Linked DNA regions of Canis lupus familiaris. The protein of the gene in region 2 purifies or fractionates together with the protein of the main gene of each other region. This does not show direct contact. Links are inferred from orthologs where the notes say so. Each region holds a gene or a part of one and is shown on either strand. Other genes may lie near its edges.

Region 1 (7,058 bases), on a different chromosome or scaffold from region 2:
TTGGAACAAATGCTGTGTACTAGTGAGCAGAGCGGATTTGATCTTGGTGGAAATCCCATATTCCCTTTTAATAAATAACAAGAGCCTAGTCCCATTTTGGCTCTGGACATTAAGAAAGTAGATAACATTTTAAGTCAGTGATCAAATATTAGATCAGTTCCTGAAAATTTTGGAGTTGACTATTAGCTGAAGTGACACAAGTCTACAAAATACATAAGCCAAGAACTAAACCTAACTCAAAACCCATGTTTCAAAAAAAACAAAACAAACAAACAAACAAAAAAAAACCCATGTTTCTGGGGCACCTGGGTGGCTCAGTGGTTGAGCATCTGCCTTTGGCTCAGGTCGTGATCCTGGGGTCCTGGGATCGAGTCCCACATTAGGCTCCCCATAGGGAGCCTCCTTCTCCCTCAGCCTACGTCTCTGCCTCTCTGAGTCTCTCATGAATAAAAACAAACATAACTCAAAAAACCTATTATTAAAAAAACAAACTGACAGCAACAACAAACAAACACGTTTCCAAACATATCATGGTTTGGAAGTGCTAGCAGGTCAGAGTGCTAAATTAAATTTGAGCAAAAAATGAATGAATGAATGAATGAATAAATAAGCAAACTTTGAGCAATATGAAGGCAGAATGATGTGACAAGTTTTATAATCTCTATAGCAATTATAGACGTTCAATAAATATTTACTACATAATGAGACCACTCAAAGATTCAGGCCAGGCATTAGATTTTCAAACCTACAGTGTTCAAGAAATTAAACCTTCCTTGGGATGCCTGAGTGGCTCAGCGGTTGAGCGTCTGCCTTCAGCTAGGATCGTGATCCTGGAGTCCTGGGATCGAGTCCCACATCGGGCTCCCTGCATGGAGCCTGCTTCTCCCTCTGCCTCTGTCTCTCTCTGTCTCATGAACAAATATAAATAAAATCTTAAAAAAAAAAAATTAAAAAAAAAATCAAACCGTCCAACTGTAGAAGTTGTTTCCTTATAAGCTGAACCAAAAGGTAATCAAAGGCAGGGAGGGTTTTTGGTAATACTTAATCAAGACAGAAATCAAGGATTATAAATCTATAGTTTTATTAAGACAAAACTGACAAATGTGGTATGAAGTTTACATTTAAACAAAGTTTTCACAGAAACCTAACACATGCCTAAAAAGATTTTACAATGGAGTTCTAGAATGCAGGTCTAGACGATGTCAAGAACTGATGGATCTCATGATTCAAGACAGCATTTTGGGTATTAGTTCTTAGGATTAAAAAATTTTTTTGTTTTGTTTTGTGTTTTAAAGTGAACCACTGCCCCAGTATGAAAGTTTAATCTTCTCCTGAGACCAGGGCTTTTGAAGTCATTCAACTCTTGAAGTGATTCAATGAACTTGTGCTGTCAGTGATTGAACCCTGCCACCAATGATTTCAGGGTTCAAAGTTCAAATAATAGGCTCCAAGAGTTTTCCACCCTAAGAGCATGGGCCCTTGTCTTTCTCTACTCTCCCACCTTCTATACCACCCTCTTCTCCTCCCCAAATACCTCAGCCAGTGGCTTGGATGGATAAGCTGATGTTTAAAACTTCATAGTTGGAAAAGAAAGGGTCTTCTTACCAATTTCAAGAATTAGCACCTCTATGACAGAACAATCTGCCTATGTATACGCTCCAATAAGACTTTCCCTCTTCAACCAGTTTCCATCCCCAAAATGGCAGCTTTGGTAACTTATTAACTGGCTTAGTCCTTTGTTGGGAATAGCATTAAGCTCAGGCAGGGAACACCTTGGCTTTAAGTTTCAGGCATTCACAGCTTTTAAACAGTCTCTCACAGTCCTCATTTAGGTTGCCAATGACATTTTTTGAAAAGATAAAATATTCTGGACACAGAACCAAATCACCACAAGTTTGTTCTTTCCATTGTTTCACCATTTTCCCAATCAGGCCCCAAATTTTAACAAAAATGATCCTACCCATCTCCGTTCCTTCCCACCCCCAACCCTCCCACCCCCAAATGATACACCAGTAATAGCCAAAAACTACACACATGCTACGCTGTAAAAATGCAGAGTTAACACTATTGGGAAGAAGGCTGTGGGTTGTGGAGATGCACTTTGAAGATCTACAGTATCTTTTGCTCTCCCACACACCCATTCTGCAAGTTCTGTCCTTCATGGAAGGCCCTTTGCCTTTCTCAGCAAAGTACAGAATGGGTGGCCTTGCAATACTTCTCTTCCTTCCCCTCCACTGGGATGGGTGTGCAAACTACACAGCATGGAAAGGCTTTAAAGCACTTGGGCTGCTGTAGGGCACAGAAACGATACTGGCTCTTCAAAGGACATCTTCTCAAGCCACCTCTACGGTGTCAAGACGAGTAGAACTCCTTCCCTCCCCACTTGAAACCCACAGTCAGATGTGACAGGGGCAGGTACTCAGGACAGTTAATTCTTGTCATCTTTTTTGTCATCATCCTCCGAGGGGTAAGAATGCCACGTCAGCCTTTCCTCATAGAAGGATATGACCACCTGTGGGCACTTGACATTGGCTTCCTTGGCAGGGACTAGGTCAGCCTCATCAGAATTTTTCCTGCAGAACAAAGCAGAGAGACCCTGAGACCAGGTGCTAGTGGTCTCCTAACCTGGATTACACAAGGGATAGGGCGATAACATGGCCTACACAGCATTTAGTCAAGTGACATCCTCAGAGGTCTTCTGTTGAAAATCCTCTCTGGTATCTTTGTTAAGCTCAGTCACTTAACTCAATCTATCACATGTGAACCTCTGGCAAGGCCAGGAAAAAAACAAAAACAAAAACAAAAACAAACATGACTCTCAGATTCTTGGAGGGCAGAAGAAAGGCTACCATACTCATCCAAAAGCCAAGCTCCCAAGAGCCCATGGAGAGATCTTGGCTTTGTAGTAGAATTTTGGATAGTAATTGATTTTATACCAATAGTAAGATTTAATACCAATAATAAGATTTAATACCATTGGCTCTAGCCAATGCAGTTGGACACATTCTCATTGACTCATAATTACACTGTTTAACATTACCAAATGCCATGCTCACACAGATATTCCACAACTCCCAGGTGCTTTGAAATGGTGCTTCAACACTGGGAAGTAGAAAATAAGGGACTGTTACATAATTCTCTATATTTTCCTGAATTTTAAAAAATGGTCTCAAAATTTGAAAATCACATACATATTACAAAGGACTTAGGAGTAAGGTCACTAGGAATCTCCTAGATGAGAGTAGCAGCATTAAGGCAGGTAGCAGTTATATGATGGGATCCAATGAGGCACCACCCAAAACTTCTAGAACTCAGAAACAGATAAACCAAAGCCAGAGAGCACAAGGAACCAGGGTTGACTAAACTGGTAAGGTATGTTTCTGAACAACAGACTGAAAAGAATGGGAGGGAAAAGGAGTCTAACAATATGGGAGCCTGAAGGAGGCTGCCCTTGTTGACAATTCAAACAATACTTTGAGGGAAGTTCAGTTATTTCATAACAAAGGAATATTTTCTATTTTGGTAATGGACAACTATTTCAACTCTTCCAGAAAATCATCTTAAAATGAACTAGGTTTTTCTAATCAACATCCAATCTTTTTATCTTAACTTGTAGAATTACATTCAGGTATAATCTTTAAAAATAGCAGTAATTCAACCAAAGGAGTGCAATCTTAAACAATATGGAGATAGTATAGTAACTCAGACTGATCACATGCAGACAGTGAAAATATATTCTAGTTGGATTGTAGCTCCTGGTATCAATCTCCCCCCACCACCCCAGATGCACACCTTAAAAATGAAAAATGAACTTTTCTCCTATAGGCTAGCAGTAAAGCAGCTAAAATGTCAGATTCAGTGAACATAGGAAACACAAAATAAGAAAACAAGAGTTTCACCTAATTGTGACATAAGCTTTCAGCAGTGTCAAAGTCAGGCCTCTCTGACCACCTTCTAAGCAAGAGGAATTAGTATAGACAGGAATTTAAGAGAAGATTCTAGACTGACAAAAGGACAAAATCCTTAAAATTCTGCCTTAACTGGTAAAGGCTTAGAATCATTCCCTCCTAATTTATATTTTAAGGACAATATTTGAGACCTACCTGGGGGGGGAAAAAAGCACAAACATTTTTCAACCAGCAAGAAAAAGAAAAGAAAGCCTTCCTTTTGGCAGAGAATAGGGATATTTTAGGGAATCTGGGGTTAATTAAAGTTCTTATCATTCTCAAGACAACTGTTTTCCTTAAGCTGTTTTGTGGAGTATTACTACCATTGGTATTCATACTTCTAATGGAAAAAAATAGCCTATTACTCTATGCTCTCAGTACAGTAAAGGTGACTTGCTGACCCCTACTGGCTGATCCTGGAATTACAGAATCTGCACAAATTGGAAAGGATCTAACAATCAAAGACAAAGGAAGAGCTACAGAAATTCTTAAATAACCCTGAGAAGTTAACAGAACTTCTGATCCTGGGGCCAGCCCAATTTTTATTAAGGAGGTTGTACAAGGGGAAGGTGGTTCAATCACATTTCATTCCCAACCCCTTCATTCACAGAAGTGAAATGTGATCCTTCCCTGTACCTTCTCCATCCTGGATTTTCTCCCACCTCCTAATAAATGGGGCAAAGATCTGAGAATCCTAAGGGCCCCTACCTGTAACTCATGAGTCCAGGCTGGCAGTCAGGCCGAGGGTCACTATCGAAGGACTATGCCATCTTAAAGATTTCACACTTGGGCGACTGGAATTTCGAAGATCCAGCTCTTTTCCTCTGGCATGGAACAGATGGGGAGAAGAAAAAAACCACCACACAGGGCCACCAGCAGACTCACCATTTCATCAGGAACATGAGTTCTCCACTGGAGTCTGTAGCTCCAATAATCCGCTCTGGTTCCAAACCCCGGGCAAAGCCTCGTGGCTTTTCTGACTGTAAAAATCAGATGGATGCAACAAATTTAATTATGTGGGACTGTTATCCAGACTAGAGTCACTCCTGCTCCTCTGATTAATATAATCACATTCTTGTCAGTATTTCATCAATACCTTGGCTCCAAGTCACAGGCCTTTATGCATCCTTCTGAGTGATTCTTCCATCAAGGTCTTGAGGTTTCCCCATATGTAAAAAGGGACATACATCTCAAGCAAAATAAATTTTCACAACAGTTTCTTCACCCTCAGAAGATAACTTACTTTAAGGTACTGAATAAATATAGAGCTAACACCTGTAATGATTACAACACTGAAAACTATCTATAGGAATGAATTTATTTGCACTCATTATTATTCTTGAAACTTGGATAAAGTAGGGCAGCCCGAGTGGCTCGGCAGTTTAGCGCCTGCCTTCGGCCCGGGGTGTGATCCTGGAGGCCCAGGATCGAGTCCCACATCAGGCTCCCTGCATGGATCCTGCTTCTCCCTCTGCCTGTGTCTCTGCCTCTCTCTCTCTGTGTGTCCCTCATGAATAAATAAATAAAATCTTAAAAAAAAAAAAAAAAAAAAAGGAAAGAAACTTGGATAAAGTATAGATTACATGGCTTCAGCAAAGTGAACCCCCAAACACTTTATAAGCATTAGCCTAAGATTCCAGAGGAAGGAGAGATGGGTGCTGAGGCCCAAGAAGCAGCAGAATAAAACTCCTTAAATTTAAAAATTAAAAGGCTTTTCAGCTTTGACAGCAGTAGGAATTCTGGGCTAGTAAAACTTGTTCTCCCCTTACCTCTTCTTTCTTCTTCTTTGGTTTGCTCTCTTCTCCCTTATCTTCAGAATCAGAGTCAGCTTTGCGTTTGCCTCCCTCTGATTTATCTGTCTCATGTGCTGTTTTCTGTGACTGTAGAAACTCGGCAATGAGATCAGGGCAATCCAGGTTCTCTTCTGGCTCCCACGTGTTATCCTCACTGAAACCAGAGGGCACAGTGAGTCACACTTTCCACTCAAAAGTTAGCACACTCATACTAAGGAGATGCACAGGATGACGAGAGCTGGTGTCCTTGGAAAAGAGGAGTTAATGATAATGAGTATCCAGATTTTGTCCAAGACCAAGAACCTTGGTAACACTGAGATTTCTTGGGGCAGGGGGGTTGGCATCAGACTTTTTAATGTAAATTAAAAGCTTAGAAACTTGCCTTCTTCAAAGGAAAATTACTTTCTTTGCAAACTTGAATCAGTCTAAAGCTGCACATAAAACTGCTTCTCATAAATCACTGTCTGGCATTGTAGCACTTTGTACATGTGGACAGTTTTCCTCATTAGACTCTAAGCCATGAAGGCCAGGCCTGGGTCATACTACCCATCAGAGCACCCTAGGCCTTGCGCATTACTAGACTCCTGAGAAATAGTCAGTGACTAAATAGATAGATTTACCCAAGTTAATGAAACTTACTCTGAGAACCCCTTCCACTTTAGGAGGTACTCCACTTTGCCCTTTACCACTCGACGGTCAAGAACTTTTTCCACCACATATTCCTCTTCCTCCTCTTCTAGCACCTCCTCCACTTTCTTCTTGTTTTGTTTCTTCCCCATAGTGCCCGCCAGCTTTCTGGTCTAAAGGGTGACGCTGCTAAAGTGATAAAATAAAATAAAAAGGGCGTTAGGGCACATTTTTCTTGGTTAGGTGAATATTTGGATGGTTAGAAATCCAGGGACAGCTCTGACTTTAATGGTGTATGCTGCTTGTATTAGCTGTTCTGCCTATACAACTGCAGTATAAAATAAGGCTTTCTTTTTTTTTTTTTTTTAAATAAGGCTTTCTGATATATTAAGCTAGAAAGTTCATAAACAGTCCCAGCCAATCTCACCGCAAAACTTTATTCAGCTTCTTTATTGTTGTATCTCCACTTAAGAGTTTTATACCTATTCTAAGTTTAAAAAGTTCCCAATACCCCTCTTACTGTAAAGCATGTATCTAAAATATTAAATTGGGGGGCATGGGTGGATCAGTTAGTTAAGCATCCGACTCCTGGTTTCTGCTCAGGTTATAATCTTGGGGTCAGGAGGTCGAGCACTGTGCAAGGCTCTCCCTTCAGTGGGGGAGTCTCCTTCTTTCCTTCCTTCTCTCCCCC
Region 2 (8,428 bases):
AATGCTCGGATTTTGTATTTGATAATATGACAGTTATTTCCAACTCTAAAAGAAACGAGTTGTATTTTGGGTATATACACACTCACACCAATTGACGAAATCAACCTGCCAAGGCCTATTACAACTTATGCAATTTTGTTATAGTTCCCAAAAGACAAAAATAGTACTGAAATTGTGAATTTTTTCTTTTCTCTCTCTCTACTCAAGTACTGATCCCTATTTGAGCCTTTGTAACTGATCAGCTCTATCTTCTTTAATTTCCATCATTAAACATGTAGCCAGCATGTGCACAACATCATAAATGCAATCAACCAAAAGACTGCTGAATATTTAAAGTTTCAAAATACTAAAAATTGTGTTGAGTAGACGTTTTTCAAATTCTGTGAACAGTTACCAGGAAAGCCAACAATTTAACAAATAGTGCACCTTATTTAATCAAATTGGAGTAATTAAATAAACGTGTGCATATATGTTGTAACAAGAAGCAAAAATCATTTTTACTTGGTAAAAGCCTATTAGCTGGTTATCTGGTAGCAACTACATGTTCAGGAAAAGGCCTGTTCTGATCAGAGAATCTTTAAGGTTTTTAAAAGTTTAGCAACTTTTGAGATTGGGTCATCAAAATAACAATAATTGAGAACTTACTTGACACTTAATCTGTTCAACATGGTGACGTTTTATTTTTAATATAAATAGTATTAGAACTTTTCCTGCACTCTGGTTTAAGGAAAAAAAAGAGAAATTTAAGCAAAACAAATTCACAGTGGGTATGTTTACAACCAATGACTTCCAGGATAGGCAGGGCCAGAGGTCTTTTAGAGATTCAAAGCCCAATCTCCTATATTTTCTAAACAGAGACTATAAAAATCAAAATCAAAGGCTTAGTTCAATGTACAGTAGCCTCTAATATGGTAACTTTAGGAAATTTCAACAAAGGCTAAGTAAAGAAGGCATTTCTACTTAAAGCTCAATTAAACAGAATACCCATTCCCACCTTCCGCTTAATTGAGGCTCCCTTCCCCCAACCTGTACTTTTAACAAACCCTCAGTTTACCTAAATTCCAGCCTTCAAGCCCAATAGCCTTACTATTTATTATTTATTTATTTATAAATTTAATTTAGAATGCTCAAACCAGGAAACCTTGAAAAACTGCAGAATACATGCTTTCTAAGAGCTCATAGCAAGTTTTCCCGTAGGAGGAGAATGGCTATTACCACTAAGGATATCAGTTAACACTGCATCTTATGTGTAATTTGCCAAGTCAAATAAAAGCACCTTCACAAACCTCACCTCAAACATACCCTCAAATAAGAAGTGGTTTTCAAACTACTCCTTTAAAAACTCATATAACTATCTATCAAAGAACAAGTACAGGTCAAAATTATATCTGTTTAACAAATACTGATCAGTATTTAAAAATTATAAATATCACCATTAGATTTAATATCTGATTCTTGTGGCTACTAAAATATTGCAAAAGCAATATAGTTAGGTCTCCAATGGAATAACTGAACCAAGCTGCCTCCTTCCTTTTCACTCACCAAAAGGTTACTTGGCAGCAAATGTCCCATGAAAACTCTTAAGCACCAACTGGTTAACTATGTATCAAAGAATACACCCATTCATAAGTTTCCCCATAAACTTATCTTGGTCTGTCTATGTAACATACTTGCAACAAAGTCTTAAAAGTACCTTTGATTATCAACAACCACTGACAATCATTGGTAACAAGGACAGGTTCATGGAAGGGCCTGTTCTGATCAGAGAATCTGTAAGGTTTATAGAAACTATAGCAACTCTTGAGCCTGGGTCATCAAGATAACAATAATCAAGAACTTAACATACTTTATACACAAGAGTGCAGAATGCAAATGATTAAAACAGCATTAGCAACTTCAAAATTTTCTCTTAAACAAGCTACTATGTCATTTCTCTGTTCAGAACCCTCGACTGCAACCAGCTCTAACCGGTTCCTTGAGGAATGTGGCTAGGCTGAAATTTTGGAAGTGTTGGCTTTGGTGGTGACCAAGGAGGAAGAAGTCTCTGGCTTCCCTGTTGCTGCAGTTCCCACCCTCCAAAATGAATATACCCACCGGTGTGAATTGACAATGTGGTCCAAAGAGCAAGGCAGGAACGGAGTCCAGATCCTCAAAATGGTAGTACAGGGCATAACCACTAGGCCACCTATCAGTTCAGTACAAAAAGTACAACCCTGTGCATCATGGTGCAAAAGCTGGGGCCTAGGTTTCGCATTGTGCATCTCACACCTATGGAAATAACAAGAGGAGTAAAATCTACAGAAATCAACACACCCTAAGAAGGTGGGTGCTCACAGAAGACCGGTGTCAACACTTTTGCAAAGGTGGTTGGTGGTTGGCTACTGAGATAATGAATGGCGGCAATTACAAGTCCAAAGTTGGAAGGCAACAAAATTTTACAATCAACTCTGTTGAGTTTGACAATGAAGAATTCAACACGGGTTTGATGTTTACCAACAAGGCTTTGCAAATCATGACACCCATCTACATGCTTATGAGAATTACTACCCCACTAACATTCTAACAACATCCTTCAAGAATGATTTTTAACTCTCAAAGAGTTGGAAAGATTTGGGCCATGAAGAAAGGAGGCAATCAGCAATACCCCCAAACCAATGCATTACTCTCAGGTTTTACACTTTCCCCTTTACCATCTGACCTTGGAAAGACATGGTGACTCATTCAAAGCTTAAGGTGGAAGAATTCCATAATTCCAGAGAATAGAAAATCTGTGTACCAATGATGTGCCAAGAACAAATGTGGATTGTCTGAGGGTCAACAGTTTTGAAAAAGTAAAAAGAGAGAACTTTTAAAATGCAGGGTGGGTTCTTTAAAAGAAATAAAATCACCGCTCTTGACTCCCTTAATCCTTCGCCATGTTGCTGTCAGCTCACCAACTAAGAGTGCGAGAGTGTGTCTTGCTGGGTCCATTTTCCCATGGTCTGTAGAAGGCGCTGTGAAGCACATCCTGTTCTAGCTCTGGGGCCCTTCCCCCCTCTGCAGCCTTACCCAGTGCAGGGAATGCGCCCCCTACTGACTCCAACACTCATCGCCTTTAGCCGACTTGGCTGCGGTGCATTTTGGGTGGGGGCTGGTATTTTCTTCATGGCCATAAACCAGAAGCAACAATGCAGATTTATAAAGAAACTGTATCAAGCCACTCAGGAGATTTCTGTTTTTTGTTTTTGTTTTTGTTTTCATTTTGAAGGTTCAAGACACTGGTACGAGAAGCATCAGGAATAGGAATTGGGTGTGTGGGGATGGACAGCATTAAAATGGCAAACACAGGAAACAGTTTGGTTCTTTTTCCCTCCTAAGCCTTTGTCTGAGAAATGGGGTTATAGCAAGAACTGCCCAGAGGAATTGGTGAATGCAAGAACATCAAGAAGACTTAGTGTGGGTCCATGTGTGGCTAAAAAGGATATTAGACCTTAGCGCCTGATCTTGGGCAGAAGAGGAAGAGAAGCAATCGCGCCTTTTCCAGCAGACAGGCATCCAGGTTGAGGGGGAGGGGAGGGCAGGCAGGCAGCCCAGAGGAAAGAGAGGTGAATAAAAGGGTGCTCAAAGAACTCCTCCCCATTCATTGCATTAAAAAAAAAAAAAAAAAAATCTTTTCGCAGCTTTCTGGATTTCCTTTTTTTTTTTTTAGCCGTCTCATTGCAAAGTTGGGGCTCAGAATGTTCCTAAGAGGTCGTGCTGACCAGGCAGCTGCGCCTGGGGAAAGGGGGTGGTGGTGGACTCCGTGGCTAGGACAGGAGGGGAGCTGGCGTGCTGGGGAGGAAGGGCTGCACGGCGGAGGCAAAGACTTTCCACTCCGTGCCATGCACGCTCCCCGCCCCCCAGTGTCCCCCCTCCCCCAGCCGAGGGTGGGCAGAGGTGGCGGCGGGCTCGTCCCAGGCACCGGGGGTGTGCGTGGGGGGCTCCTTGCGGGAGGAAGGGCTCAGTTCCAGGGATGGGAGCAGCTCGGCGCTCGCTGGGGGCGGGGTGGGGGGAGATGCCATCAGCGGCACAGGCTCCGGGGCCGGGCTGGCTGCCGGCCTCGGCGGGCTCGCGGGGCGGGGAGGGGGGTCGGGCTGCAGGAGGAGGCGCCTGGCCCCCGGAGCGGAGCCCGGGTAGCGGTCCGCGGCGGGGCGGGCGCTCCGTCAGCACCGGAGCGTGCAAAGGAGCGTGTGTGGCCGGAGCGCAGGCAGTCGGCGCAACAATGCGCCCGCGGGGCCGGGGCCGGGGCCGGGGCCGGGGCCGGGGCCGGGAGCGGGAGCGGGGAGCGCGGAGCGGGAGCGGGGCCGGGGCCGGGGCCGGGCCGCGGGGTGGGCGCGCGGCGGCCGCGGGCTTACCTTGACTCGGCCTCGAGGCGCGCGCGGGGCCGGCGTGCTCGGGGGCCGGGCGGCGGCGGCGGCGGCGGCGGCGGGCGGATGGCGGCGGCACGGCGGTGGCGGTGGTGGCGGCGGCGGCGGCGGCGGCGAGGGCGCGCCCGGGGCCTCGTCGCGCGCTGGCTCGGCGGGCTCCGGCTCGCGCCGCGGCCGCGGCTGCTGCCGGGGGGCGCGGCGGGCGCAGCAGAGCGGCGGGCGGCGGCGGCGGCGCGAGCGGCTCCCTCCAGTCCCCGCGCGGGCGGCGGCGGCAGCGTCGTCGAGCGGTGCAGACAAAGGAGGGGCGGAGGGAGGAGACGGAGGGTGTGGGAGAGGCGGCTTCACCGGCGCGGGCGGGCGGGCGGCGGCGGCCGCGCTCCTCTCGCTCCTCAGCAGCGGGGACCGAGAGAGGGAGCTGTGTCTGAGGAGACGCCAAAATCCCCCTTAGCGCTGCCCGCGGGAGGGGGAGGGGGCACAAGATGGCGGCGGCCGGGGGGGGGGGCGGGAGTTCAGCTCATGGATCCCGGCGGGCGGCGGAGGGGAGACCGGGCCGGCGGAGGCGGCGGCGGCAACGGGCGGGGGAGGGGGCTGATCCCGCGTCTCCCCTCAGCAGACAATACAAGCGCCTCGGAGCGAGTCCCCGAACCTGCCCTAGCCAAAATGGCGGCCGAGAAAGAGCGGAAGTGACGTAAATACCTCATTAGCATAAGAGGACTCATTGTCCAGCTAAGTGGGGGGGGGCAGTGGGGGACAGCACCCCTTCCCCCCTTGTCCCCCAGGGACCACTCTCTCACTCCCACCTGGGCTTGCACCTAACTTTTTGGGAGGGAGGGTGGCACCAGCACCCCCACCTGAGGGAAATTATATAATCCCCACTGAGGGGGAGCTCTCGCGAGAACCAAGAGGATTTGCCATTGACCCACTAGGAGGCGCCGCGGATAATGGCCGCAGTGCGCTTCCAAGGCCCGTGTGCACGGCGGGCGCCTTCCTCTGGCCGCAGCGCCGGCGGCGGAGGCACCAGCAGCGGGCCGCAGCACGCCCTGCACTCAGTCAGGTGGCCGTGCCGGGGATCCCTGCGCGGGCCCAGCTGGGCCTGGACTACATCTGGCGGGAGGGGGCGTGTGGGCAGCCCGGCGGCTCCACGTGCTGGGAGGCCTGCGCGCTCACGGGCGGGCCGGGCCGGGCCGGGCGGTAGCGGGAGGGGCAGGGGCACCTGGCCGCTCGAGCGCGATGCCTCCTGCCTTAAAAGAGGTGTGAGGGCCTCGTGCTTCACACACCGCCTGGAGACGGGACACGAGCCCACGGAGCCCCGGTTCCTTCCCGGCGGGTGGGTTACCTAGTGGCCAGGGGCTGACTCTCTTCCAAGTCAAAGATGGGCTCTTCTCTTTGGCCTGAAGAAAACAAATGGGAGCCTAGCGTTTGGGGGCCTCTGGACTGGTGAAGCCTGAAGAGGAGAAAAGGTGCTGCTGATGGGCCTCCAGAAGACGCTCAAAAACTACACGTCAACTGTGGTCCCAAGGACAGTCATTCTAGCGTTACCACAATGTGGATGTCACAAGACAGCACATGGACAGCTCGTGTAAATTTAGGTCAATCCCAACCAACACGTTGTCTCAACATCTTTGAACCCACCTTTTGGAGTAGACTGTATCTAAGAGTATGTCATTGGCGAAACATACTGAAGAGTAAGGAACACCATCATGAAGGATTAACCAAGCCTGTTTTCCTAAGGTGTGCTCTGTAAATACACTGATCTTTGGCCGTTTCTCTAAATTTCAAGTTAAAACAGTTTCAAACAGTACTTAACATCTCAAAGATTCTGACTAAACTGAAAACAGTACAGATTGTGGTTACATATAGCTCAATGTCTAAGACTTCACTTAGCAGGTTTAAACAAGCCATTTGAACCAATACAGAATTCCATTAGTTTCTGAAATTGTGAGAAGATAAATCTTTAAAAGCCAAATCAGTATTTCAAAGGAAAACAAGAGCTGGAAAAGTTAAAAAAAAAAGGGTGTGTGTGTGTGTGAGAGGGTGGCACAAGCATTTGATTTAGAGAAACAAAGATGAAGAATCTAATTACATGTTACAGAAGACAGGCAAAATCTACTATGAAATCAGCAAAACCATTTATCTCAAGTTTCGTTTTCCTTAGGTATAGAGTTCATACAGTGATAATACAAAGGGAAAACATCTGGATTTTATCCTTGGACTAATTTACAAAGTAAAAAGAGATGCTAGGTTCACATATAAATGTTTGAGATTTTAGTGTTTAAATCATCAGATGTCTTACAGAAATGCATCTAAATAGTCCAGATTCTTTTCTAAATAACTTCTACATGAAAAAAGTCTTCACTGCTTAAATACTTTCTTTACTATAAATTCTAGTAGTGACAGTGTTGTGACTATGGGAGTAAGATTAAAAGATTAAAAAGGCATAAGATAGCTACCTACTCTAGTGAGGTCTGAGAAGGCAATAATTTATAATGAGTTCTCTGAGGTAGTTAATCTCTGCTCCATATACTTGACAATAAAATCTTTGGGTTTAGATGAAAAAGAGGAGAATCTAAACACTCCACAGAAAAGAGTATTGTATTTCTATTACATTAGGTTAATTCTACATTAAACAGTGATGAATTTTCTAGTTATTAATGATGAGAGATGTCACTTCCCCAAGGAAGGTGGGTCCCTGGTGTGCTGGATGGCTAAACAGCTCTGTGTAAAAGGGACATAGAATAGTAGAGGCCCTTTTGGAATGTGTCCCATGGATTCAACTATGGGAGTAGGTAATGTTCAAAATGACACCAAAGGTTTTATAGTCTGATATTAATTTCTGATTATGATCTGTTAGAAATGCAATTGAAAAATCAGATTTTAAATTTCTTTAGCAGTCAAATTAAGCCAGGAAAATGTAATTAGGAATACTGTTCAATAAATATGCTTATTAAATAACTTAGAGATGTCTCTTCCTTGCAAAGGAAAGTCAACTTGCTCTTAAGCTTATTTGCTCAAAGTATGCCTTCCCACAAATTTAAAAGATACCATGTGTTCCATAAGCTATGCTACAGTTAAAAATTTTTTTTTGAAACATTTAGCTTAGAGAAGGTAGATAAACAGAATATGTGTGCTGGCTTTAATGAACAACTAACAGTGCACTCACTGGTGGAACACTTAAAGCTTAGTAAGATGTTTAAAAATACTATAGCAGCTAAGTATTGAAGTCATCAAGACTACTGATGCTGACAAAATATTGTCATCAATATTTTTTCCTACTGATAGAAGGTACTGCTGAAGATAGAAAAAAAAAATAGCTATGCAATCAACGGATGTCAAGTTTCCAATTCACAATATGTATTTTAAATAAACTTGCTTTGACAGATGAAATTGTGACCTAAACATATTGTTTTATCTAGTTTAAGAAATTTGAGATACATTTTTAAAGAAGGGGCAGAGGTGTCTACTTCTTCATATATACAGAAACAGCCATATATATTTCATGAATATAATTAACATTCTTCTTACTTCTGGTATCTATTATAATGAGCTATGAATCCAGTTTTTTAATATACTTCAAAGTCTTTACCATGTAAGAAATTCTGCACTCACATACTCTAATGAAAGCTCAGTATTTTCTGAAAAACCCAATACATTTATTTACAAGTCTTAATAATACAGCAAAATGTAAATGAAAATTGAAAACACTGCTCATTTTTCTAATTTAATTTGACATATAAAATGGAGTTTCCTCAGAAAAAAAGATTTGTATGAAATTTACCTTACCTTATGATTTATGCTCTAAGAGTACATTTTATAAAAATCAGCAAGCAGGCTTCTTTTATGTTTAAATGAACTCAACATGATAAGTATAATGAATAACTTTCTTTTATGTAGTAGCAAAGAGAGTCAATAATCCTTTCAAGAAAGAGACTATTTCATTTCCTCCCAACTTGGATTCACCATAAACTCGATCCACAAATGATATTGGAACCTAGTAAAAAATATATATATACGTTAAGTCAGTCTTCAAAAATACCAGAAAGAAA
Region 3 (7,665 bases), on a different chromosome or scaffold from region 2:
TGTGTTATCTGTTCAAACATACCTGTACCAGTCAAAAGTCCAGCACTCTTCTTTCGTGCATAAGCGCGTAAGTGGTTGGACAGGCTAACAGCACTTGTAAACGTCGTATTGCAATGCACACATGTTCTAAGCTTCACAGGCATACCTATCATTCAAAAGAAAACTATAATCCAGTTCTCACTTCAAAAAGTGAAATTTTCTTAGCTAAAAGCGTGAAGAAAAGTACCACAATAAGGATGGTTTAAAAAAAAAAAAAAAACGTTCATTGAATTAGCTTAACTTAAAATAAGGAGGGGGAATTAAGTTAACTAATATTAGTTTGCTGTTAGTATTTAGAGCCAACCCATGCTCTTTGGAAATGTGGAAGAGGAGTGCCTTGAACCTCTGAGCTCCTCTGGATTTAACACCTATTATCACTTTCTTGCAGATTTCTGTGTTACGCAGATCATTTCCTAAACCTAAAATACAATCCTGTGATTTGAAGAGCACAGTTCAGTTGAGAAGTTTCAAAGCTTACAACATTACCAATAAAAAGAATTAAAAAGTCTAGTTGACAAAGTGGTAATTAAAGTGTTTTACCCACAAAACCGTAAAAGGCTCAATACTAAATTAGGTTTTCTGATGAAGGCTGGGAGAAAAGGTGGTAAAACACACCATTGAGCAGCTGTTAGACACAACATTTTATTCAGGGCATTTTATGTTCATTACTCTGAATGCGCAATCAATAATGAAAGTTAATGATTTGAAGTTTTTTACTAAAATCTTTGTGCTAAATAAATGATCAACAAGCTAACATCTTAGTCATCACAGGAAAGAAAACATGTTGAAACAGTAAGAAACTCCTAACTTCTAAGACAATCTTCACTCCTCAAACTCCTTTCAGTTGGTTTCTCCAACAATGACATTCAGCCACAAATACACTTTCCATCTCTCAAGTGTACTAAACTTTAGTCAACATAGCTAACACACCTTTCTTACATTTTATTCTTTTGAAAAAAATGTTGAAGATTTGACTTTCAAAGACTCTCTTCATACAAAAGAACCTATTTACCAGAAACCCATACAAGAAAGTTTTTCAGATCACTCACAACACAGTGTAATCTTTCCTTAAATCAAAACTGCATATAAATATCTGGGCTATCCCAATGTCTGCCAAAATAAACAAGTCAACACTGAAGTAATTTTATTCATTATGAATTCCCCTGACCAGTTAGTTTTACCTTAGACACATTGGACTTGGGGCTAAAATTATGAGACCATCTAAGTTCATCCTCAACATTCTTAACCTCCAAAAGAAACCTACAAAGCCACTTAAAATTCTTCGAGTCTAAAAGTATAAATCAGACTTAGCAATAACAAATACAGTTTGGCTATTTTATTTGCTACCTCATTTGCCAACATACACAAACAATTCTTTTGAAAAGGAAAAACTATTGGTGCACAAGCACTAACCTAAACCATCCGTTCTGTTCCTTTAGACCACCACTGTAAAATCTAAAACCCCAAACAAATGTTTTATACTCACAACAGTTCTCCAAAACCAAACTATCCCACAATACAGTGAGGAATTGGAGAAGGAGAAGTTTTTTTGGGTTAATCACAACACACAACAGACACCAATCCATTCAGTTTAAAGAGTCTATTTGTTTGTTTATTCATTTGACTTAAGCAGAAGGAAAACCAACAGCTATATCTTGAAAACATTATCACCTTGGAGCACTGGCAAATATAGGACAGGTTCGCCATTTCAGTAATGCTATGCTTTTGAACAACGTCAACCTCCCATCCATAGGACCATCCCCCAGCCACAGCAAATTTTATTTTACAGATCTACTTTTTTTGTTCTCACCTTACATTCTGACCAAGAAATGAGGCACAGAGAATTCAGTGCTGATGAGCATCAACTGATGATTTATATAGAAATGACAGTATAACCAATCTCTGCTCTGCAAAAAAAGCAGCTTAAGTAAAAAGATTCTAAGAAAGTATTTTCTACAAATATTCTGTAACAATAAGCATAACTGTATTTAAATTCTAGACGACAGTCATAGACATCCTCTTACCTGAGTGCATAGTCAAATCCATTCTTTGTGGTTGATACATCAAGGGACTGTCTTCACTTAATGGAAGAACACACTTCTGAACAAATCTCTTTCTTGCAGTTTGATTATGAATTTTTTGAGGAGAAATAGTAGAATTCCTTTCTTCTCCCATCCTTTTATTTTTAAGTAGTTCTATCAGTGTAAGAGACTGATTCTTTTTTCCACTGGGTAGTTCTGGTTTTGTTTCATCATATTCATTTAAGAAACTCAGCCCTTCTTCTTCTGATGCAGACACTGATAAAGCTTCAGTCTTTAGGCCATTACGGTATGCTTCAAGAGGTATAACATTTTGAGATAGAAAGTCATCACTTGATGCAAGTTTTTGAGCTACAAATGGTCTGGGAATAATACGACGACTGTTCAATGCTTTCAAGATTTTTTCATATTTTTCTTCATTTTGCATCATCTCATTCAAAACACAGATTGGAGATTTGTGAGCATCCCATTTGGTCTTTCCAAGTCTTTTCAGATGGCCTCTAACATGATTCGATAATCCAATTTTAGTATCAAACCAACCACCACAGAGCTGACAAGTGTGTTCAGAAGTGGTTTCAGACTTCTCTATAGCTAAAAAAAATTTTTTAAGAGTAACATCAGAATTTTTCATAAAGTGATCATCTTAAAGCCAATAACTCTGAAATATAAAGTTATGTGATTCTAATAAAGACCAAATCTGAGCAAAACCTTCAAATCCTTTGAATTTGAATACAGACATATTAACCCAAATTATCTACATGAAAACTTACCTTTTCTAACTCGCTTAACAGGTGTCCCTGTACCAGTTCTTTTGAAATGTTGCATTTTGTCACTTGTGGCTATTTGTTCTGGTGATACAACATGGCGGGCTTCATAGCTTAATCCAGCTCTGTGAAGATGTCCTCGGACATGATTTGACAACCCAACACCTGTTTCAAATGTTGCTGGGCAGTAAGGACATGATTTCTTCTCAAGAGACAAATCAGTCCAGTGAAAAACAGAACTATGCTTTGACAATGAAGTTTCTGCATTTTCTAAATGCTGAGAATCATGTATGTCATGCAAAAAGTTATTAGTTCCAGCATCTTCATAATATTCAAAATAAAAGCCATCGTTTTGATCATAACTAAGAGTAGCATTTTCTCCAGGCTCTTGACTTTCCACCTTGCTTTTAAACAGTGGGAATAAGTTTACATGTTCTTGATTAATATCATTATAGGTTTCATCTTCCATAGCCTGTGTAGTGTAGTCACCTAACTCAACATTATCCCAAGAACTTTCATCTTCTGTTTCATAGCTGTCTTTCTTTTCAGCAGAATTAAGTTTCTGCAAAACAACAACTGTCATTTTATGCAGGAAATCTGGATAGCTATCCAAGTCTTCTCCTCCAACAGAGCTTTCCTTCTTAGATTCCTTAACTACTCTCTTTACAGCTACACGTCTATGTTCTTTGAAGCTTTCTGGCCTTTTGGTATCAGAGTTTTGAGAGTCTGAAATGAAACTATTGTTGTGAGAATTACTTGATGACGAGAACAAATGTAAAGAATTCAATGAGCTGGCTTCTTCTTTTTTGAAATGTAGAGGATACGATTCACCTGATTTTTTGATCATCCTATAGTTTTCATATTTGTGTCTATATAAATAGTTGCTATTTGCCTTGGCATTAGATTTTTCTTTTGCTGCTTGATGGAAATACTTAGGTTTTTGGTCAGAGCTGCTTTTAATCGTAACAGTCTTGTGAGAATTGTTTTGATTGCACACATTTACACCTGACTGGGCAATGCTTTTCCGAGCTTTTTGTATTCTGTGTGGCCGCTTGTGGAATTTGGAAAAATTACTTGATTGTGAAGATGATCCAAATGTTCGCTTTACATCTTGTTTTAAAGCGGAATTCTTTGGAAATGTGGCTGACTGTTGTTTAATTAATGGTTTAGTGCCATCAATATCTATAGGTTCTTCGAGAATGTCACTTTTTCGTTTATCAAGTCCAAGAGGACTACCAAATGAATCAACACATGATGATGAATGCAAGTATTCCATGTGTTTTTTTAAAATACTTCTGGCTGAAGTAGTAAAAGGACACATCTTACATATATAGGTGGCTGATTTTTTGGATGATCCTACAACAGAGTCTTTCATGAAAGTCTTTTTTTGCGTTTTTCTCTGGGCTACATCAGAATTGACGATAGGGCATTTTACCACTGCTCCGTGGGCAATGCCTCGATGGCATTCTAATTCATTTTCTGTCACAGCCATGAAGTTACACTCTTCACAGCAGTAGTACCTTTTATCTTTTTCATGGGTTTTAGCATGTTGCACAAATGTTTTAGGGCAATTGGTACCAAACACACACTGAGGGCACTGTAATCGTGCACTTCTTCCTTCATCCTGAAGTTCTTTCAACTCACGAATTTCCTCCATCAACTTCTGTCTTCTTTCTTGGTGAATAATCATATGCTTTAGAAGTGAGTTACGATCTCGAAATGTCCGTCCACATTCTCTACAAGCATATGGCCTTGGGACATTAAGATGACGAAAGTGGCTATTCCCATCTAAATGATACATCATATGCCTGTGGAGGTGTTTTTTCTCCCTAAAATTCACATTGCACTTTGTACAGGGGTAGAATGATGGCTCTTCGGTGCTGAAAGTAGCAGGTGACTCGGAATCACTTTCTTCACATTTCTTTTTTAAGGTATTTGAAAGAAAAGTGCTAGTATGAACGGGTGAACTGCCTTCTCCACACTTATCTGGGTTATAAATTAGATGCTGAAAAGCATCCACAGATTCCAAGTCTTCATCAGTTGATTCAGGCTTCACTTTTGATAATGCATATTTCTGTGAGTCTATTGCTTGTAGTTCTTCATTCTGCTCCAGAAAGTCTACTTCTAGCATTTTTGACTTATTGGGTATACAATTAGAATCACTAAAGCAATCCTCAGTATAACGAGTTATCTTGCTTACATCCATTTTTCGCTTTCTCTTTTTTTCTAGACCTACTTTAGAGTGAACTGGAGCTTTATCCACTGTGTCTTCATTAGTCATAAGAAACTGAATGAACTCTTTTTGGGGATCCCAGTTCGTATCATTTTCTGACCTAAATTCATCTGTACCTGAGGAAATTCCTGTCAATGTATCAACACAATCATCTTTTACCAATAAATCATCACTATCCTCACCCACCTCTACTTGATTTATTAAAGTGCTATCTGACTTTATACTACTCCCTACTGAATTCTGAATGTCACAACCAACGGAAGCAGAGGTAGGTAGTTTTTTAATGGAATGGGTTGGATTTTTAGCATGCGCTACATCTGATAACAAAAATAAAACTTGATGTTGACTTGCTTTCTGTGGTGTAGATAGTTGAAGATCAGGTGCCACCTTCAACGCTGAACAAGACTCTGTTGTTGGCTGATCCACAGGTTGTCCAGTGGTTAATGAAACACTGCCTTTATTCATACTGGAAGTCTTAGCTAAGGAGGAGTGTGAAACTGGTCCATTAACAGCAGCTCCTTTAGGCAAGATAAAGTTTTCACTAGAAACAGTAGGAGCACCAGCATGTATAAATAAAGTAGACTGGCCTCCACTTAAGGCTTTTTCAGATTTGTCCTTTGACAGTTCTTCAGGCAGAGTGAGAGTATTATTTTTCTGAAATGATGTTTGACAATCTTTTGGTTTATGAACTCCACTCTCTTTGTCTGAGATAAAACTGTTGTTATCTAGGAGTTCTTCTTTAGCACCAGTAATATCGGTGTTTATCTTCAAATCATCCATATTGTTGGCAAGCCCATTTAACACATTTAGTCTAGAAAATGGAAGAAAAAAAATTTAGATTGGCATGAAAGAAAAAATTCTATTAGAATGTATGGAGAGTTCAAAGTACACACTTTTATTAGTGTGATTCGACTCTTTATATCAAGATCTAATAATTTTCCAAGAATGAGGAAACACTTTAAAAAATGTAAAAGACATTAAAAGTATCTCAAAGGTTAATTTTCTTCTTTGTGCTAGGCAACAACTCCGTATTGCATATATACAAATCATCTAGGGAACAGCAACATTAGAAATGGCCACATTATACTGAATTGCCGGTCTCTATGGAAGAATGTAAGCTCTTGTCTTTAGAACCTAGCACAGTGTTTGGCATAGGTGCTTCAGCAGTATTTGGTGAATAAAGGACTAACATGTTGAACAAGTAAAAACACAACTGCAAAATCAAAGCAAAATGTGTAAGAGGAAAAAGTTTTCGTACTATGAAATGTAGACTCCCTTCAAATAGTGTAAATTCCATCATGGTTCTGACTTTTTGACTCAGCAATTACAGCAAGACCTTCAAAATATCCAATAATCCTCAAGTACAGTTTATTTATTTTATTTTTAAAAATGATTTTATTTATTTATTTATGAGAGACAGAGAGAGAGAGAGAGGCAGAGGGAGAAGCAGGCTCCCCATGCAGGGAGCCCAATGTGGGACTTGATCCCAGGTCTCCAGGATCACACCCTGGGCTAAAGGTGGCACTAAACTGCTGGGCCACTGGGGCTGCCCCCTCAAGTACAATTTAAAGAATCTGTTATTTGGCAACCCTAGGTATAGACTATCCAAAGTGCTGGCATAAAATTCCTTATTTCTCTTCTTTTTTGTACATGGTAGCAAGTACAGTTATTTATTCTCCAAATATTTACTGAGCCCTTACCATGTGCCAGGCACTGTTTTATTATTAGGAATACCAGCAGTAAGCAAGACAGACTAGGTTCCTGCTCTCTGATAAAGAATGAAGTCTTCTGGGCTGCCCCAGTGGAGCAGTGGTTTAGCGCCGCCTGCAGCCTTGGGTGTGATCCTGGGGACCTGGGATCGAGTCCCACGTTAGGCTCCCTGCATGGAGCCTGCTTCTCCCTCTGCCTGTATCTCTGCCTCTCTCCCTCTCTCTCTTTCTCTATGAATAAATAAATAAAAAATCTTTAAAAAAAGAGAATTAAGTCTTCCATTGTTCCTTCATAGGATTTTTAATCTGTATAACAAGTAGTATTTTAAGATAGCAGGAACATAATCTGGTATTTAGAAATGAAAATATTTTCAGTATAGGTAATTATTTCTAATATTTTATGGTAGTTAAAGAATAAAAGTTAGCTCTTTATTCTAGTTAAAGAATAAAGGAATTGTTTCTAATTACTTTGTTATTTCACAGCTTAGAACAAGTGCTTGTATGTATGAGCTTACTCTTCCCATAAGATGTGCCCTTTAATACAACAAATATTATAAATATATACTACAAATATCTGTCTTTGGCATTATTATTTATACTAACAATTATTCTGCCCCTCATAGGCCTCAGAATTCTGTTTTGAGATTGGCAAACCTCCACAGTAATAAAAATAGACATCCAATAAGATCATATTCAATGATATCACCCCAAAATGGTGCTAATGCAGCACCCAGCGGGAGTCTCTACATCACATACACAGAAGTTAAAAATGGGCAGCACATAAACATGTGTTAGGGAAGAGTGTGCAAATGTCAATGAAAAGAAAAGCAAACCTTGATGCTATACCATTATCCATTCCTGACATTTCTCATATACAAAAA

The links.
Region 1: the proteins of ADNP (region 2) and CBX1 purify together in Homo sapiens (affinity purification with mass spectrometry; 6 studies listed by BioGRID and IntAct, with this or other methods). This does not show direct contact. The link is inferred for Canis lupus familiaris from reciprocal best matches to the Homo sapiens genes ADNP and CBX1.
Region 3: the proteins of ADNP (region 2) and ZNF644 purify together in Homo sapiens (affinity purification with mass spectrometry; 3 studies listed by BioGRID and IntAct, with this or other methods). This does not show direct contact. The link is inferred for Canis lupus familiaris from reciprocal best matches to the Homo sapiens genes ADNP and ZNF644.

The regions. Positions count from the first base shown.
Region 1 is NC_049230.1:24,313,797-24,320,854, forward strand, and holds the end of CBX1 (chromobox protein homolog 1), read right to left. Parts: intron 6,557-7,058; 5' UTR 6,520-6,556; coding exon 6,380-6,519; intron 5,895-6,379; coding exon 5,717-5,894; intron 4,928-5,716; coding exon 4,833-4,927; intron 3,103-4,832; coding exon 2,949-3,102; 3' UTR 2,582-2,948; downstream 1-2,581. UniProt on the Homo sapiens protein: Component of heterochromatin. Recognizes and binds histone H3 tails methylated at 'Lys-9', leading to epigenetic repression. Interaction with lamin B receptor (LBR) can contribute to the association of the heterochromatin with the inner nuclear membrane.
Region 2 is NC_049245.1:37,865,534-37,873,961, forward strand, and holds the start of ADNP (activity-dependent neuroprotector homeobox protein), read right to left. Parts: upstream 4,433-8,428; 5' UTR 4,374-4,432; intron 2,269-4,373; exon of another isoform or gene 2,095-2,268; intron 718-2,094; exon of another isoform or gene 646-717; intron 1-645. Other genes in the region: DPM1 (dolichol-phosphate mannosyltransferase subunit 1), read right to left, coding at 8,269-8,373.
Region 3 is NC_049227.1:58,284,654-58,292,318, reverse strand, and holds part of ZNF644 (zinc finger protein 644), read right to left. Parts: intron 5,887-7,665; coding exon 2,849-5,886; intron 2,670-2,848; coding exon 2,064-2,669; intron 1,947-2,063; coding exon of another isoform or gene 1,885-1,946; exon of another isoform or gene 1,850-1,884; intron 146-1,849; coding exon 23-145; intron 1-22.